Saccharomyces cerevisiae S288C: one gene and its partners. The protein of the gene in region 2 purifies or fractionates together with the protein of the main gene of each other region. This does not show direct contact. Each region holds a gene or a part of one and is shown on either strand. Other genes may lie near its edges.

What was found.
Region 1: the proteins of DIP2 (region 2) and BMS1 purify together in Saccharomyces cerevisiae (affinity purification with mass spectrometry; 2 studies listed by BioGRID). This does not show direct contact.
Region 3: the proteins of DIP2 (region 2) and UTP18 purify together in Saccharomyces cerevisiae (affinity purification with mass spectrometry; 8 studies listed by BioGRID). This does not show direct contact.

What each region holds. Positions count from the first base shown.
Region 1 is NC_001148.4:138,891-144,793, forward strand, and holds BMS1 (GTPase BMS1), read right to left. Parts: upstream 4,282-5,903; coding exon 730-4,281; downstream 1-729. Other genes in the region: Arf family GTPase SAR1, read left to right, coding at 1-519; YPL216W (uncharacterized protein), read left to right, coding at 4,931-5,903. UniProt on the Saccharomyces cerevisiae protein: GTPase required for synthesis of 40S ribosomal subunits and for processing the 35S pre-rRNA at sites A0, A1, and A2.
Region 2 is NC_001144.5:397,941-403,233, reverse strand, and holds DIP2 (snoRNA-binding rRNA-processing protein DIP2), read right to left. Parts: upstream 3,578-5,293; coding exon 746-3,577; downstream 1-745. Other genes in the region: low-affinity Zn(2+) transporter ZRT2, read left to right, coding at 1-440; NEDD8 ligase DCN1, read right to left, coding at 3,801-4,607, 4,702-4,704; APC2 (anaphase promoting complex subunit 2), read left to right, coding at 4,915-5,293. UniProt on the Saccharomyces cerevisiae protein: Involved in nucleolar processing of pre-18S ribosomal RNA.
Region 3 is NC_001142.9:310,193-314,514, forward strand, and holds UTP18 (Utp18p), read right to left. Parts: upstream 2,515-4,322; coding exon 730-2,514; downstream 1-729. Other genes in the region: YJL070C (metallo-dependent hydrolase superfamily protein), read right to left, coding at 1-445; YJL068C (S-formylglutathione hydrolase), read right to left, coding at 2,824-3,723; MPM1 (Mpm1p), read right to left, coding at 3,922-4,322. UniProt on the Saccharomyces cerevisiae protein: Involved in nucleolar processing of pre-18S ribosomal RNA and ribosome assembly.

The DNA.
Region 1 (5,903 bases), on a different chromosome or scaffold from region 2:
CTGTGGAACAAACATGGTAAACTACTTTTCTTGGGTTTGGATAATGCCGGTAAGACCACATTGCTACATATGTTAAAGAACGATAGATTGGCAACCTTACAACCAACATGGCATCCAACTTCTGAAGAACTGGCTATTGGTAACATTAAGTTTACAACTTTCGATTTGGGTGGTCATATTCAAGCTCGTCGTTTATGGAAGGATTATTTCCCAGAAGTTAATGGTATCGTCTTTTTAGTCGATGCTGCTGACCCTGAAAGATTTGATGAAGCACGTGTCGAATTAGATGCTTTATTCAACATTGCCGAATTGAAGGACGTTCCTTTTGTAATTCTTGGTAACAAGATCGATGCTCCAAACGCCGTTTCTGAAGCGGAGCTACGTTCTGCTTTAGGATTATTGAATACCACTGGCTCTCAAAGAATTGAAGGTCAAAGACCAGTTGAAGTTTTCATGTGTTCCGTTGTTATGAGAAATGGTTATTTAGAGGCGTTCCAATGGTTATCTCAATATATTTAATTGACGTATACATCTATACCCTTTATATGACATTCACATGAATTCAACAGCTTTGTAATAATCAACAAAATTGCATAGGATGCCACCTCATAACTTTTGAGCACAGCATTTCCGCGATCATAGTATATTTTAGACTCTAAGATTGAATAAAAGTATGATACATCTTAAGTATACATATATATATGTATATATATATATATACATGAAAGTTTACCTCCTCATCTTACGTGGACGAGATTCATCGTCACCGCCCATAGTTGTTCTTTTACCATTCTGGGCGAAGTATTCTTTCTTTTTCTCCTTATCCCTTTGTGATTTTTCTTCCTCCATCTTAGCTAATTTTTTCAATCTTTCCTTACGTTGACTAGCCTTCTGTTCCTTCCTCTTGCTGTCTTTGGCTTTCGAAATCGTCAATACTTTTTGAATGAATGATCTTGCCTTCTTTTCATCACCACCTAGCACCACGGCTCTTTTAGCCATATATGTTTTCTTCTTTTGTGGTTTCATTTGATGGATCTGAGATTTGAATGGCAATTCCTTTTGAACAGCTTTTGGGACCTTTAGACCATTGAAGTGTCTTTCTACACGTTCTATTTTATGATATGCACTGTCCGGATTCGACGGTGTTTCCAGGTTCATAGCCGCTCTTATTTGGCCTGTCAATCTTAAACCTTTCCACTCGGTTTTTTCCTTCAACAATAGTGAGGTAACAGGATTATAGAATTTCTTGACGCGGACAGGATACCATGATCTTAGAATTACAATATCACTCATTAGGATTTTATCCTCAAAGGCTGCCCTATAGTGACCCTCAGGCTTTGAAAGTGCCCTTTTGATTTCACCACGGATACCCGAGACAGTTTTGATCTGCGCACCCTCAAACCTTGCAACTTCCATAGCACTTGAAAACATGTCCTTTATAAAGGCAGTATTTTTGAAAATTTTATATGGAAACCCAACTAATTTTAACTTTTTAACAATTTCAATATTAACGTCTATCTCTTCAACGATACCTGTTGCTGCAATTCTAAAACCGTTCCCGGTATCACTATTAGCAACAATTTGAACACCACAAAAAGGTGTGTTTGGAGAACATAAGGGACCGTAGAAAGCCGCATTACAATATGTGTGTTCTGGTGTATACTTTAGCATTCTGGTTCTTGTTCTAGAGTCAGTTGTTGTATAAATTGGTAAAGTTTGGAACCTTCTCCAACCCAAAGACAAGACCAGTGGGTCATTTGTCTTCAAAATCTTCTTATGCCAACGATGTCTTCTCAACCTGGCTTTGACAATACCGAACTTTATTTCGGTCGGCAATAAACCACCCATAACAATTGGAAATTTTGGATTGAAATTCTTGACAAATTCCATTGGGACTTTTTCGAAAACGATACGTACATAAGAACCAGCTTTGAAACCTTCGATTCTTTGACGTTGTTCTGGAGTCATTTCTTGATATTCTATATTGTTAATTTCTAACTGTTTAGATATCTTGGCCTTCTGTAGTTCATACCATGTATCATATTCATTGTTTTCATCATCTTCTTTAAAGTTTTCACCTTCTTCTATCTCGAATTGTGCACGTAGTTTTTCCTTCTTTGCAGCATTCATTTCTCTTTCTTGCTCCATGGTTAAGTCCTTTTTTTCCTCCGCATCAAAATTAGTGAATGAATTATCATCATCTCCATTAGTGTCTTCGTTTTCATCCTCATCCTCACTTTCTTTGTCACTATTGTCTTCTGCTTGTTCAGAAGGGTTTCCATCTTCTAGATCTTCAAAATCGCCGTATAGTTCTTCCCCACCTTCATTAGAGTCACTTTTCGTTTTATTATCATTACCTAAAATGCCTGCGCCGAGGAATCGCTCTTTGATTGCATCAACGCTTTTCCATTTTTTAGCCAATTTTTCGAAAGTGTCGAAATATGGAACAAACTTTTCCAAATCAACTGCATGGTCTTTATTGCCCTCTTTTGTAACAGTACCATCTTTTTTCCTGAAGAAGTCATCATCAACATCTTCTTCAATGTCACTTTCGTCTTTACTATCGTCGTCCTCGCCCCTCCACCTTCTTATACATTCTTCAGGTGAAATGTTGTCCATGTATATCAGCTTACCGATATTCCAGGTCCTTTTCTTACTTTCAGTTTTCTTCAGCTTGTTTGCCGCTGTTCTTTCCCAGGAAAACTCATCTTCACTCTCTTCAAATTCAGAATCTGTTTCCAAAGCTAATTTTTCGGCACCCTGCTCACCGGTATTATTGAAATCGATTTCAACCATCCTTGGTTCGGAGTCCTGCACGTCGTCATCATTTGTATAAGGTTCTTCATCACTCGGTAAATTATCAATATCTGCGTCTTCTTCTTGAACTGGCTTACCATAAATTCTTGGTTTTCTTAAACTGGTTCTTCCCTTGCTCTTTCCTTCATCGTCCTCAATACTTTCTTCTCCACTTTCAACATCCATGCCTTCATGATCGGCAACTTCATGAAGCTCAGTGCCGTTGCTAAACAATTGCAAACCCACACCATCAAATTTCTCTGCAATACTTTGTTCAACACTTTGTAAACCCGTCATGAGTTTTTCTCCTTCACCTCTTTCTTGGCCGGGAACAAAACTTGGCTCTTCATTTTTCTTTCCAATATCAATATAAACAGCATCCTTATCCATCAACACACCTCCGACATCGGACATTGGAGCATATATCAATTTATCTTTATCATCTAACCTTTTACGTCTTCTTGTCGTAGAGGCAGTTGTAATTTCTCCGTTAGCCTTTGCCTCTTCTTTCATTTTTTCACGTTCAAAATCATCCAGTTTCTGTTGGTAAAAAGGTGTGGGACATGGATCTGGTAATTTTTCAATTTGTGCTACTGAGAAATCACCAACACCAGCAATATGCACCCTAGTGCCCGGAGCAGAAGGCAAAGGAGTACCGTGCAAATAACCATAGATAGCGACTTTGCGGTCGATTTGCAGTCCTTGAGTCTCTATTAATTCCGGATGAGTTAAATCTGTGAATCTGTCAGCCAACATATAGGGATGTTCGTTCCTCCATTTTAATGGTCTGAATTTCATAACAGATATAAATCGTGAAAGGTTTAAAATCTCTCTATCAGGATACCTTCCATTAATCACACCAGATAGGTAAAATAATTTTGCACCTTGATAAACTTCCGTCCAGAATCTGTGCTTTAATCTTTTCTTAGAAGCTCTCAAAGTTGACTGAGATTTAAACAGATCAAGATGTGTAGCTACACCAAGTACTCTTGGCATACCGTGATGTTGAGCAATATTTAAGAATTCCATTGTTTCCATTTCAAAACCGAAATTACCGTCAATTAGTAAAAGAACCAAGTCGGCAATCTTAGCAATATCAATCATCGCATTCAGATCGTCCGCAGGGCACTCCAAAAAAGTTAGTCTTCTATGTTTACCAGAGACAACAGTAATAGGACCTTGAATATCATTCAAAGTGCTTTTTGTCATTCTCCTGACGAGGGACCGAATCAAAGTAGTCTTTCCTGTTCCAGGTGGACCCACGACAGCGACGATAAATGGAGGCGGATCATCTTCAGGGGTACGATCAACCATAGGAACATGCAGTTTTCTTTCGTTCACATCACTTGACCTTTGCATAGTTCTCGCCATCTTACCTGGGGCTGCCACGGCAAAGGCCTTTGCATTATGACCCTGCGTATGGAGCTTCTTTTTTGCTGTATTCTTCTCCTTCGCCTTACGGTGCTGTTTATTAGACTGCTCCATCGTTTCAGATAACTCAGATGGCTGATTAAAGGCTACTATTATGTGATATTTTTACCTTAACAGCGCAAATACTTTCCTTAATTTTGAAGCTTCACTTCAGCTCATCGCCTTGAAAATTTTTCATTTGTACGGACATTAAACTTAGGCGATAACAAAAAAAAAACTTCATCTAGATAATCTCAACTTTGAAATTACAGAAATATTTACAACAGTAGTACGAGTATCTGCACTATGGCTCACATGTCCTTAAAATAATCTAAGCTTACCTATCTGATATTTGTTTTGATATTGTTTAGGACCAGCAGTTTCTGAGAGTTTAGCAAATGCACCTTTACAGCTATCCTCAACTTTTGGAAGAGAAAGTGACAAGATATGTAACAATACTTGCATGAATCGACATTTGTTTACTTTGGTCCATTTTGTATATGATAGTGTGATTTAGCGATATGGAATTATGTGTATTTTTCTATTTGTTGTCATTTCAATATGGGATGACTTGTTTTCTTGTAACGCGCCACTTCAATAGTAAACATTATGAACCTGATAAATGTTAGCAGACTTAGTAAGAGAGACAATCATTTTCATTCAGTAAAAATCGCAATCCCTAGTTTGGCTCTTCTTCTAGCCGTACTTTAAATTCAAAGCAAAAATGGTTCTGCTTAACAGAAGGAAAATACAACCTAAGGAAATAGGACAGTCTGCTGATTCCTTCTCTGAAACTCCATGGGTGATTAAAGAAAGTAGCGAGCGTATAAATGATTATGACAGTGATTTAAAAAAGCTAGATTTTTACAAAAGGGATATATTCACCTGTGAGATTAGTGGAAAAGATGGCCTTTCGTATTTCAAGGCGTTAAAAAGCGAAGAACAGCACCGTGAAAAGGTCAGATATCTTTTACCAAAAGAACTAAGGAAGGCTATAGCAAATTTCGCAAACTTCAGTCCGATAAGGAAGGTAGGACACCTTGTAGAAAGCGCATTTCAGCGTTTTAGTAACCGTTTCTTTATAGGCGATACGGTGTGCTTGAAAACTATCCAAAAAAATGCATTGATTACCTATAAAGAAGGAGAGCCTAACTTGGTAGAATCACCAACTATTGAAAACAATGTCACGTTGTTCCTTGTCAAGGATGTGTTTCAATCTAACGGGATGATGGAAAGTGAAAAGGGAGAAATTTCTGCCCCAAAATTGTCACTGTATTTAATCACAGAATGCCTGAATCGAGAATCTAAAGGTGCGGCCCTAATTGTAGGCCAGAATGAAATTAAAAGGCCAGAATCACACTTTTCTAAATTCATAATTGCGTGTTTTCTTAATGAAATACTCATAAAAGTATCGAATAAGGAGCACGCACCATGGAGGGTGAAACAAGAATATATAGAAAGATATGATGTAAACCCTAAATGCTCTCCTAATATGATTGATTATTTGCCGGATAGAATGAACTCATCTTCTTCCGAGCTTTACACTCCTCTTACTATACCACCAGAGAGCGATGTTGAACCTGCTGACTGGAAGGAAACGTCGGAAACGTCGGAAACGTCGGAAACGTCACTATCTAAAATAAAAGCAATTGACGACGAGATTTCAGTCTCATTTGACCACATTTACGATAATGTGA
Region 2 (5,293 bases):
CTGTATTTGTGGGTCTTTCGCTATCTGTCGCGGGTGAAGAATTCGAAACCTTATTTATCGTTTTAACTTTCCACCAAATGTTCGAAGGTTTGGGTCTAGGCACAAGAGTTGCCGAAACGAATTGGCCAGAAAGTAAGAAGTACATGCCTTGGTTAATGGGATTAGCCTTCACTTTAACGTCACCCATAGCAGTCGCGGTAGGTATTGGTGTCAGACACTCTTGGATACCTGGCTCTAGAAGAGCATTAATTGCTAATGGTGTTTTTGACTCGATATCATCAGGAATTCTTATTTATACTGGACTAGTCGAATTAATGGCTCATGAATTCTTATACTCTAATCAATTCAAAGGACCTGATGGCCTCAAAAAAATGCTTAGTGCATATCTCATCATGTGTTGTGGAGCTGCTTTAATGGCTCTTCTAGGGAAATGGGCATAGTATCTCACGTATATTTTGTTAGATTAGATAGTTATTCATTATCAAAAAAAAAAAAATGCATGACCTATAATTTTACAACTGCTCTGCAGAGACGAGAGACATCTCGCAAAAAACAGCATATGTCAGCGACCAATAAGTATAAAAAACACATATTCCGTTATTTGGATATGCCCATTATTACCGAAGGGCAATCGGAATGACAATTTTTATGATTGGAATTGTATAATATACAGATAATTTAATCTATCCTTTTGAAGTGTGAAAAGGGCAGAGTAATGCCGGTATTATGTAGGATAATAGTTTTATTATATAACGGTCCCGAAAACTCTCTTCCTTGCACTATTACTCTCTTTCTCCTGTTGGTCATATTCGTCAACGAATTCGTAGTTATGCCTTAGATTCCATTGTTGCTTGACGAATTTCAACCCTTGAACATTAAAGCCTAGATCATCCTCGGTAGATTTTAATGCACTTCTTAATTCAGTCTTTACTCTATTTATTTGCAATTTCAATTCTTCATTTTTCTGAGAAACCAATTCTTTATGATTAAATTTGATAATGAAAAATAAATTCTTGCAAATTAATGGTAAGTGAGAGTGCAGCAAAGTTTTGTTTTGCATAACGGTATCAATAAATTTTAAAAATTTGAGGACATATGAGAATGGCATAACCATCAGTGCATCTTCTAACTGAGACATTCTTATTCTTAACAGGGTATCCATAATATATTGCTCAGGAGTTTTATTCACAGCAATTAGAACAGCGTTACCCTGTGGTTTTATTGGCGCTTCACCCAACTTCTTTCTTTGCCATAGCTTCATATCTCTGTTATATGCCTCTAAACCTTCAATCTCAGCAATTCCTAAATCTAGCGCCTCCATAAGTCTTTCACCAGCCTTTAACGATTCTAAAGTCTGTTTATGAACACCGGATGCTTCATCTTCAACGCCTTCACCCGATGCATCAGCTTTAAATGCATCATCACCGTTTCCTTCTTCCAAAGAAGTTAGCAATGTATCCTCGTACTGTTCTTCAAGTTCTTTCTCCTTTTCCTCTTCTAAAAATACCTGGTCCTCGGTTTCTTCCCAGATTCTTATACTGTGATCATGGGATGAAGAAACAACAAAGCCGCCATCAGTAGCAACCGCCAAAGCCCAAACTTCGCTCTGATGAGCGTATAGTTTTTGAATGCATTCAAATTTCTCGCCATCCCAATATTTCACCACTGCGTCTTTAGAACAACTAAAGAAGTTGTGAGACTGTGGTAAGAATTTAACGTTCATAATCGAATCCTGATGGGCAAATAAAGACTTGTGACAGTCACCAAAATCTAAACCCCAAATCTTGATATTTTTGTCTGCGGAAGACGTAATAATCATCTTAGAATCAAATGAAATATCGATAGATAGTACAGGTAATTTGTGCCCATATAAACTTAGGTAAAACTTCATTGAGTCCAAAAAGAATACCTTAACAGTATTATCCAGCAACGAGATGGCTAGATATCTATCGTCAGGAGAAACCCGTACACATAAAATGTCGTCAGTTAATTCCAAAGTTGTATCATGGTGCAGTTTTAAAACAGGCAGGAATTTGTTCTTGGTACCTGGCACTAGGCTATTTTCAACTTTGAAATCCCAAAACTTGACAGTTTTATCGGCAGATCCGGTCACTAATCGTTTACCATCTGAGGTCAGATCTAGCGACCAAATTGCCGCATCATGTGCATCTTCAATGGTATCCAAAAGACTTGATGATGCTAGATCAAAGAGCTGTAACTCCCCGTTTCTTGTACCCAGTATGACTAGTAGCCCACCTGGCAAAAACTTACAAGTTAATGCATACCCACATTCGAAAGTTCTGATACATTTATGTGTTTTGATATTCCATATTTTCAATGAACCATTGGATGCTGTGGCAAGTAATTTGTTATCATCACTGATGTCAATACTACGCACATCCGTTCTTTGCCCTTGCAATTCAATAGTATGTGTCTTGAGAGGAGCAGGGCTTGTTGGGTCTCTTTTTTCATATGGAATGGAATAATACTCTATGGTATTACTCGATGTAGTTAATACCAACTCAAGTTTGGAACTTGAGACCGTTGTCCATGATGCAGATTTTATTTTATACAATGATCTTATGGTTTGAAAAGGATGCAATATAAAGGAGGAGTAGGATTCTTTAATAGATTTTGCAATTTCTTCTTCTGTCAACCCCTTTTCTTTTAGCCTCTTCTCTCTTTTCTTTAAACCTCTTGCTATTTCTTCTTCTTTTCTAATTCTGAAAGTCTCGATGGTTTTATCAGCATTTTGGATGTAAAAAAAAGAGGTTTTGTCAGACGAATTTGTTATGAACTCAATCTTTAACCCACGTTGCTTACTTTGCTTTTCGAAAATACCCATCTCTGTTAGTTTCCCCCCCATTTTGTCATTTTCTATATCCAGTTTCCAAATTTTTACTTGACTATCAGTACCAGTTGTGATCAGTAAATCATCCTTCACTGCAAGGCCCCAACACTCTCCAGTATGCGCAATATGTGTCTCTATACATTGATGTGTTTTTAGGTCCCATAGCTTGATCATTCCATCTTTGGAGGTGCTGATCAGCCAATCTTCTCCTTGACACCAAAAGCCAGTAATGGAATCCTTGTGTGATCTAAGTTTATAAAGACCAACTTCTCCAACAAGATCCCATACAATGATATTGGAGTCCTTGGAACCAGAAATTAATCTTGTGCCAGTCCCATCAAATTGTAATAATGTTATAGCTGCTTTGTGACCGTTAAAATTCAAAAGCACAGTCTTAGACATCAAATCCCAAACTTTAATGACACCATCTGCGTAACCGACAGCTAATAAATCCGTATCTTTATGAGCCTCCAAATATGTACACTCGGCTGGCTTGGCGCCTCTAGCATCAGATGCGCCTGGAGGTAAGCCATCGGATAATTTACTGACCAAATCCCCGGTCTTAATATCCCATATATTAACGTCCTCGAGAGCACTCGTAATCAATTGTCCTGGTCCACTACCATTACTATTTCCGGATGACGCAGGTATCCAAACACAATTGGCATTGGAGGCTATTACACCAAAAGCAGCTGCTTGCTCAAAACGTTGGTATGATTTGACCATAATAGCTCTTATTCCAGTTTCTCTGGTCCTTCTAGTGGCTACTCTGATATACGTACGACCTTATACAATATCTACATCTATATTATGAGGGAACTGAAAATTTCTGAAAAATTTTCCACTGCTCATCGCGTTTTTTATTTCCGCCTTATTCCCATCTATCTTAGAAGGGTAACGTATTCCATGCAATATTAAACAGCATACCCTTAAGTATATGAAAGGATGTTTATTGCTGATCCTGTAAGCACTCATAGAACTCATCGATAATAAATGGCCAGGCTGCAGTTTCGTCGTAATCGCTTATTATTTTCTGAATAGTGGGGTATCGTTTGAAAAAGAGGAGCAGCATACGCCAGGTGTCTTTACTTATAGTGGTTTTCCCCTCATCGCGAAGGAAACGGAACCATGCCTCAAGCAAATCTGGTTCCATACGCACTGGGTACTCTGGTTGGAAAAATAGCTTCCAATACTGGATGCCTTCGTCTGTATCTATATCCTTTCGATTTGGGTCCAGAATCAAATTGAAAGCATAGTTATAAATCTGTGTGAAATATTGTAAGTCTTCATGTAATTTAACATCTAACGTCTTGATGCACTCTTGCATGTCTGAAATGGTGGAACAGCCTTGCATAAACCATGTTGACAGGAAGTCCTCTCGTTTTAAGGGTTCTTCTAGTTTCTTGTACCCCAGTAAATGGGCTAAGCATAATGTCGCTAAATCTTCAAGATTGTAGCCTAGCTCCTCAATGAACTTGACCAGTGAGTCTATATCAAACAAGTTGTTATTGATATAGTGTTCAAATACCTGTGTTAGCTCCTTCGGGTATACGGGTGGATGAGCCACAGTTGAAACCTCGTCAGTAAACGTCCCTATTTCCTTGTCATAATAATCATTGAGAGCGTAATTGATGTTCCAGTGATTACGCTGCAGGTACTTCCTGGATACCTTGGGGTCACATTTGGTTAATGAGGTGAATGATTCAATTGCCTCTTGTTCCGGGCTTGCATCCTTTCTTTTTATTTTATTATTACTCTATAATGATGCATCACATTTGAGCGCCCCTTGCCAATAAAGTGTTAGTACTTTGAAGAGCCTGAGAACTAAAGAAACGAAATTAAAAACATACCATGTCCTGAATGCAAGAACGTCTCTTCAAAAATTTCTTTTTTTATTGGGTACTTGCATGTTACTGCGTAAGTTCATTAGTTGCATCTAAATTTTCAAACCTTTGGTTACAAAAACAGTAATAGACAAAAGAGCCAAAATATCGAAAACTAGACGAAAGCCAGACTTAGCGGGACTGTAAATATTTATGGCTTATAGTTAAGGTTTTTCCATCATGTCATTTCAGATTACCCCAACTCGAGATTTGAAAGTTATTACAGATGAGTTACAAACACTTTCCTCATACATCTTTCACACAAACATAGTCGATGATTTGAACTCTTTACTTACATGGATGAGCCCTAATGATGCCAAGAGTAACCATCAACTACGTCCTCCAAGCCTTCGTATTAAGAATATCATTAAGGTTCTCTTCCCTAATAACGCAACCACATCGCCATATAGCATGATAAACACTAGTCAGGCAAACAATTCAATAGTTAATGAGGGAAATACAAACAAAGAGTTACAACTACAACTTTTTTCCACGCTCAAAGAGTTTTATATTTTCCAGGTTCGTTATCATTTTTTCTTACATTTTAACAACATTAATT
Region 3 (4,322 bases), on a different chromosome or scaffold from region 2:
TTATGTTTGAAATGCCATCTTGTTTGGAAGCAGCAATGTATCTTTTTCTCATTTGAGAAACCAATTCAAACGGATTAATGAAAAGATCTTTAGTTTCTTCACCCGTTTTCAGATTTGAGGGCGTGTACGATGAGACAAAGCTGTCACTTTCTCCATTTCCATAATGATGGGAAACTGAAGGAAGTGGATCAATTTTGTTTTCTTCGTCTTCAAGATCGAAAAACATAGGTGAACCTAAAACCATTTGCCTGTCAAATTCCGTGGGCAAAGAAATCATATCCATATCATCGACTGATATTTCCTTCTGTTTCAAAACAGATGGGGAGACATCACCGTCATTCTCTGACAAGACCCTGGCTTCTTTATTCTTCGTCTCATTAGGCTTAGTAACAGAATTTTGATATTCGTCAAAGAGTAACGAGGGCCTTCTCTCTACCGCCTGCATAATTCCCAGCGAGATGAATAAGTAAAGTGAGATTTAGATAACTCTTACAGAGGATATTGAGAGGACATTTTAATCAAATTCTTTAAACTCAATGTCCCCTTTTTTTCCATATATTATATTTAATTTCTCGGACAATTTTTCATTTCTGACTATAAATGACAGCAAGAAAAAAGTGGGCAGAATCATATTCAATTTCAAGTTTCTTCGCAATTTTTTTACAGTGATATTTTGTGTATGTATTTGTACATTGCTTTTAATATCTAAGTTTGTCTATAAATGGAAATTTAGTAGTGGTTTAATTTCCAGAGCCTCACTTTACCTTGTTCGTTACCCACGGCCAGTAGCCCACCAGATGGCGAAAATGCGACACTGGTAACTTTACCCAAAGGCGTCCCGCTGGTAGGCCAGTTGCTGAACACGCTACAAGAAGGCAGATGAACTAGTCTCAAAGCATCCTTGACTGCACGGGATGCCATGCACAGTATTTGACCATCAGGGGAAAATTGTAGATTAGAAATGGTAGTTGTTAGCTGGTCCAAGGCGGCGACAGGTGTAGGGGTCGACGAGGTCATAGCATTATTTCTATCGTAAAGATTAACAAATCCACTCTCACTACCTACCGCAAGCCACCTATTTTGCTTTATCTTACTTATTTGAAGAGCCGGACAAGTAGTTGTTGTCCCACCACCAACTTGGATTTTTGTTATACCCACGCCACCTTGGTCTTTCCATCTTCTTATAACATGGCCATTCTTATTCAAGTCAAATTCCCACACTTCACCATACGCGTTTACAGCAATTAAAATGGTCCTAAACTTACCACGTGAAATAGGTTGATAATCGATACAGAAATCCGTTATCACACCTTCTATCTTGCAGCCCATTAACCATAGTCCGGAAGTGGAATGTAAAATGTTAATCCAACCATTATTACCCTGTAAAAGGACAATTCCATGGACAGAATTTGTTTGTGAATTCTGCAAATGTGCAACTTTGAAATTCTCAAATGATCTTTGAGTGGACTCATGTCCATACAATCTGGAAAATTTTTCGATTTTGGCAGTCTGTGAATGAGTTAAATTTTCTAAGGATAAGTCCCAGGAATGCATATATCTTCTTCTACCGGCGGTGAATATATTTTGTTGATTTTGGTTTGATAGAGAAGTATAGAAAGTACATGTTTGTATTGGAGACCCAACCAGGTGCAAACTTGTCACTAGATGGTTCGTTTTCCCGTCAATATGATATATTCTTAAGGTCTTATCATACCCACCCGTTAACAGTAGAGGCTTAGAAGGATGGAATGAAAGAGATTGTATGGCGGAATGAGACGGGTGTGATGCATTTGCATCTTTAAGACGCACAATGTCAAGTTTCTTAGGGGGTAATAGTTTGGAATTCGATAAAGTGTCTTTATAATTGTAAGTAGTAGACAGGATCTTCGTTAGAGCATTAATATCTCCATTAATAACATTATTAGAGCCTTCTTCTTCATCGTCTTCTTCGTCATCTAATTCAGAATCAGATTCATCGTCCACCCATTTGGGCCTTGGATATATCTTTTCAAACTGAGATCTCAATCTGTTGATGTAATGAACACCGTTGATTTTGGACTCGTTATAGGAGGTTCTTAATTTCTTTGTCTTATTGGTAACAAGAATAGGCACTTTAATTTTTTCATCATCCGAATCTATCCAAGCAGCTTCTTCAGAGTCCTCAGAATAATCATCGCTTGAAGAGTCATCTTCGTCATCCACGTCCATGGTATCTTCATTCTTATCTTGACTATCTTCGTTACCACCATCGTCCACAAAAAATAACTGATCGTTGTTAACATGGTCTAATTCACCGTTCTGCGCTTCATCTTCTTCACTGTTATCTGATTCAGATCCCTCATCCTCCTGGTCTTCAACATCCATTTCTTGTTCATTGAAAATGAAATCGGCATTAAATTTAGCGAGATTTTCTTGTAAATCTGTTGTATCACCGAATACAAATTTGGCTAGTAACTGTTCTTCTTCATCTGGTGGAGGTACGCTAACATTCATTGCGGTTGTTGCCATTGTCATTGTCGCACTAATGTAGGCTGATATACACTTTCAAGAACGATACCACAACAGGACCAGAGTGATCGATGAGATGAGGTGAAATTTTTTTATTTTTCGTTTTTTTCATTTCATATTATTAAATTCGTCGGATGTGATGCCAATTAACCACATAATAGCAATAGTAATGGAAGTTACAGGTGACATAAAATCTACTGCGAATAACCTTTGAAAGGATAACTATGTTTGGCCATTTTTTTCTACGGACGTATATTTCACTAAATATGTACATAGAAAAGTCATAAAAATTACCATAATGAAATGCGATGCCTCTCAAATCAAACCCAAGTTTCGCGCATGAAATTCAGCATGTTCTGGAACGAAAGTGCTGACAAAGTAATAGGAGTGATCAAAGCCGTGAACTTTTTTTATTTCCACGTAGTCCTGCCATGAAGTGGCTTTCACCGCCTCAAGTAGTAATTCCGGTTTCAAGTGTTCTTCCAAAAAGGGATCGGAGTCTCCTACATGGATCAAAATTCTGTCGTCGCCCACATGTCTAATATTCTTGATTAATAAACATGGGTCGTACGCTTCCCACTGGGCTTTTTCTTCGCCCAGATAACCTTTAAACGCTTTTTGACCCCAGGGAACGTTGGAAGGGTTCACGATAGGGGCGAAGGCAGAACAAGATTTGTATCTCTTTCCGGAATAGCCCTTCAAATACCCACAAATTGCACCATATCCCCCCATCGAATGGCCTGTGATGGCAACATTGTCCAAGAAGTCCAGCTTTACGTCACCGTTCTTGTTAAAATGAGAATCTAATGTTTGTGGGAGTTCTTTGTGAATGTAGTCGTACATCTGGTAATGTTGGGCGTATGGTTCTTGGGTGGCATTTAGATAGAATCCGGCGCCCTGTCCAAAATCCCAGGAGCCCTCAGGATCATTGGCTACTTCGTCACCACGTGGGGACGTATCCGGAAAGACTATTGCAAATCCGTACTTGTCAGCTTGAAACTGCCAAAAAGCCTTCTCAGAGGCGTTGTCTGGCGTGCACGTCAAGCCAGAAAGGTAAAACACAGTTGGGATACGCTTATTTCTTGGAAAATCTTGGGCGTAATAGTGCTTAGGCAAATAGATATTGACGTTCATGCTGGTCTTGGTAGAGTTCGAGTTATGTGACAACTTGATCAATCTGCCACCACAGACACTAAATTCCTTAACAACCTTCATATTGAACTATGTGAATCGCTTATATGTATTTTATTGATGCTATATATTGTCAAAAATGTGTATTGATCTTTTGTGTGTGTGTGTGTGGATCTCCCCTTAGCAGTCGCATGTTTTCCACACGCGCAAGGTCATAATCGTGCGATATATACAAGGCATATTGTGTAAGATATGAGTAAAAAAAGGAAACGAAAATATGTCCTAATTGTCTTCGTCAACACTCACCACTTTATGCTTCACCTGGGGACTGGAACCCTTGGAGGTAGTGGTGGTAGTAATGTCTACCGTGCCATCGTCAAAGTAGATTTTTTCAGTTTTGACGGTGCTGGGTTTTGCATCATTGGAATCCTTCGTGGTACTAATGGACTGTGCCCTTCCAACAATTTTCTTGGATCCATCTGCAGAAGCATATTCAGCATCGTTGCCCAGATGCAAGTCGTCCCAATTCAACATGAGGTCTTCTGGAGTTCTAGCCAGAGGCTCTACGGCAGTGCTCCTAGTCTTGATTCTTTGTTTTTGTAGTCTATTCATGTGCGACCTCCACTTCAAAAAGAGGTTGAAATCATTGAAGAACAACCCATGAGAGTGCGACTTGTCAGATT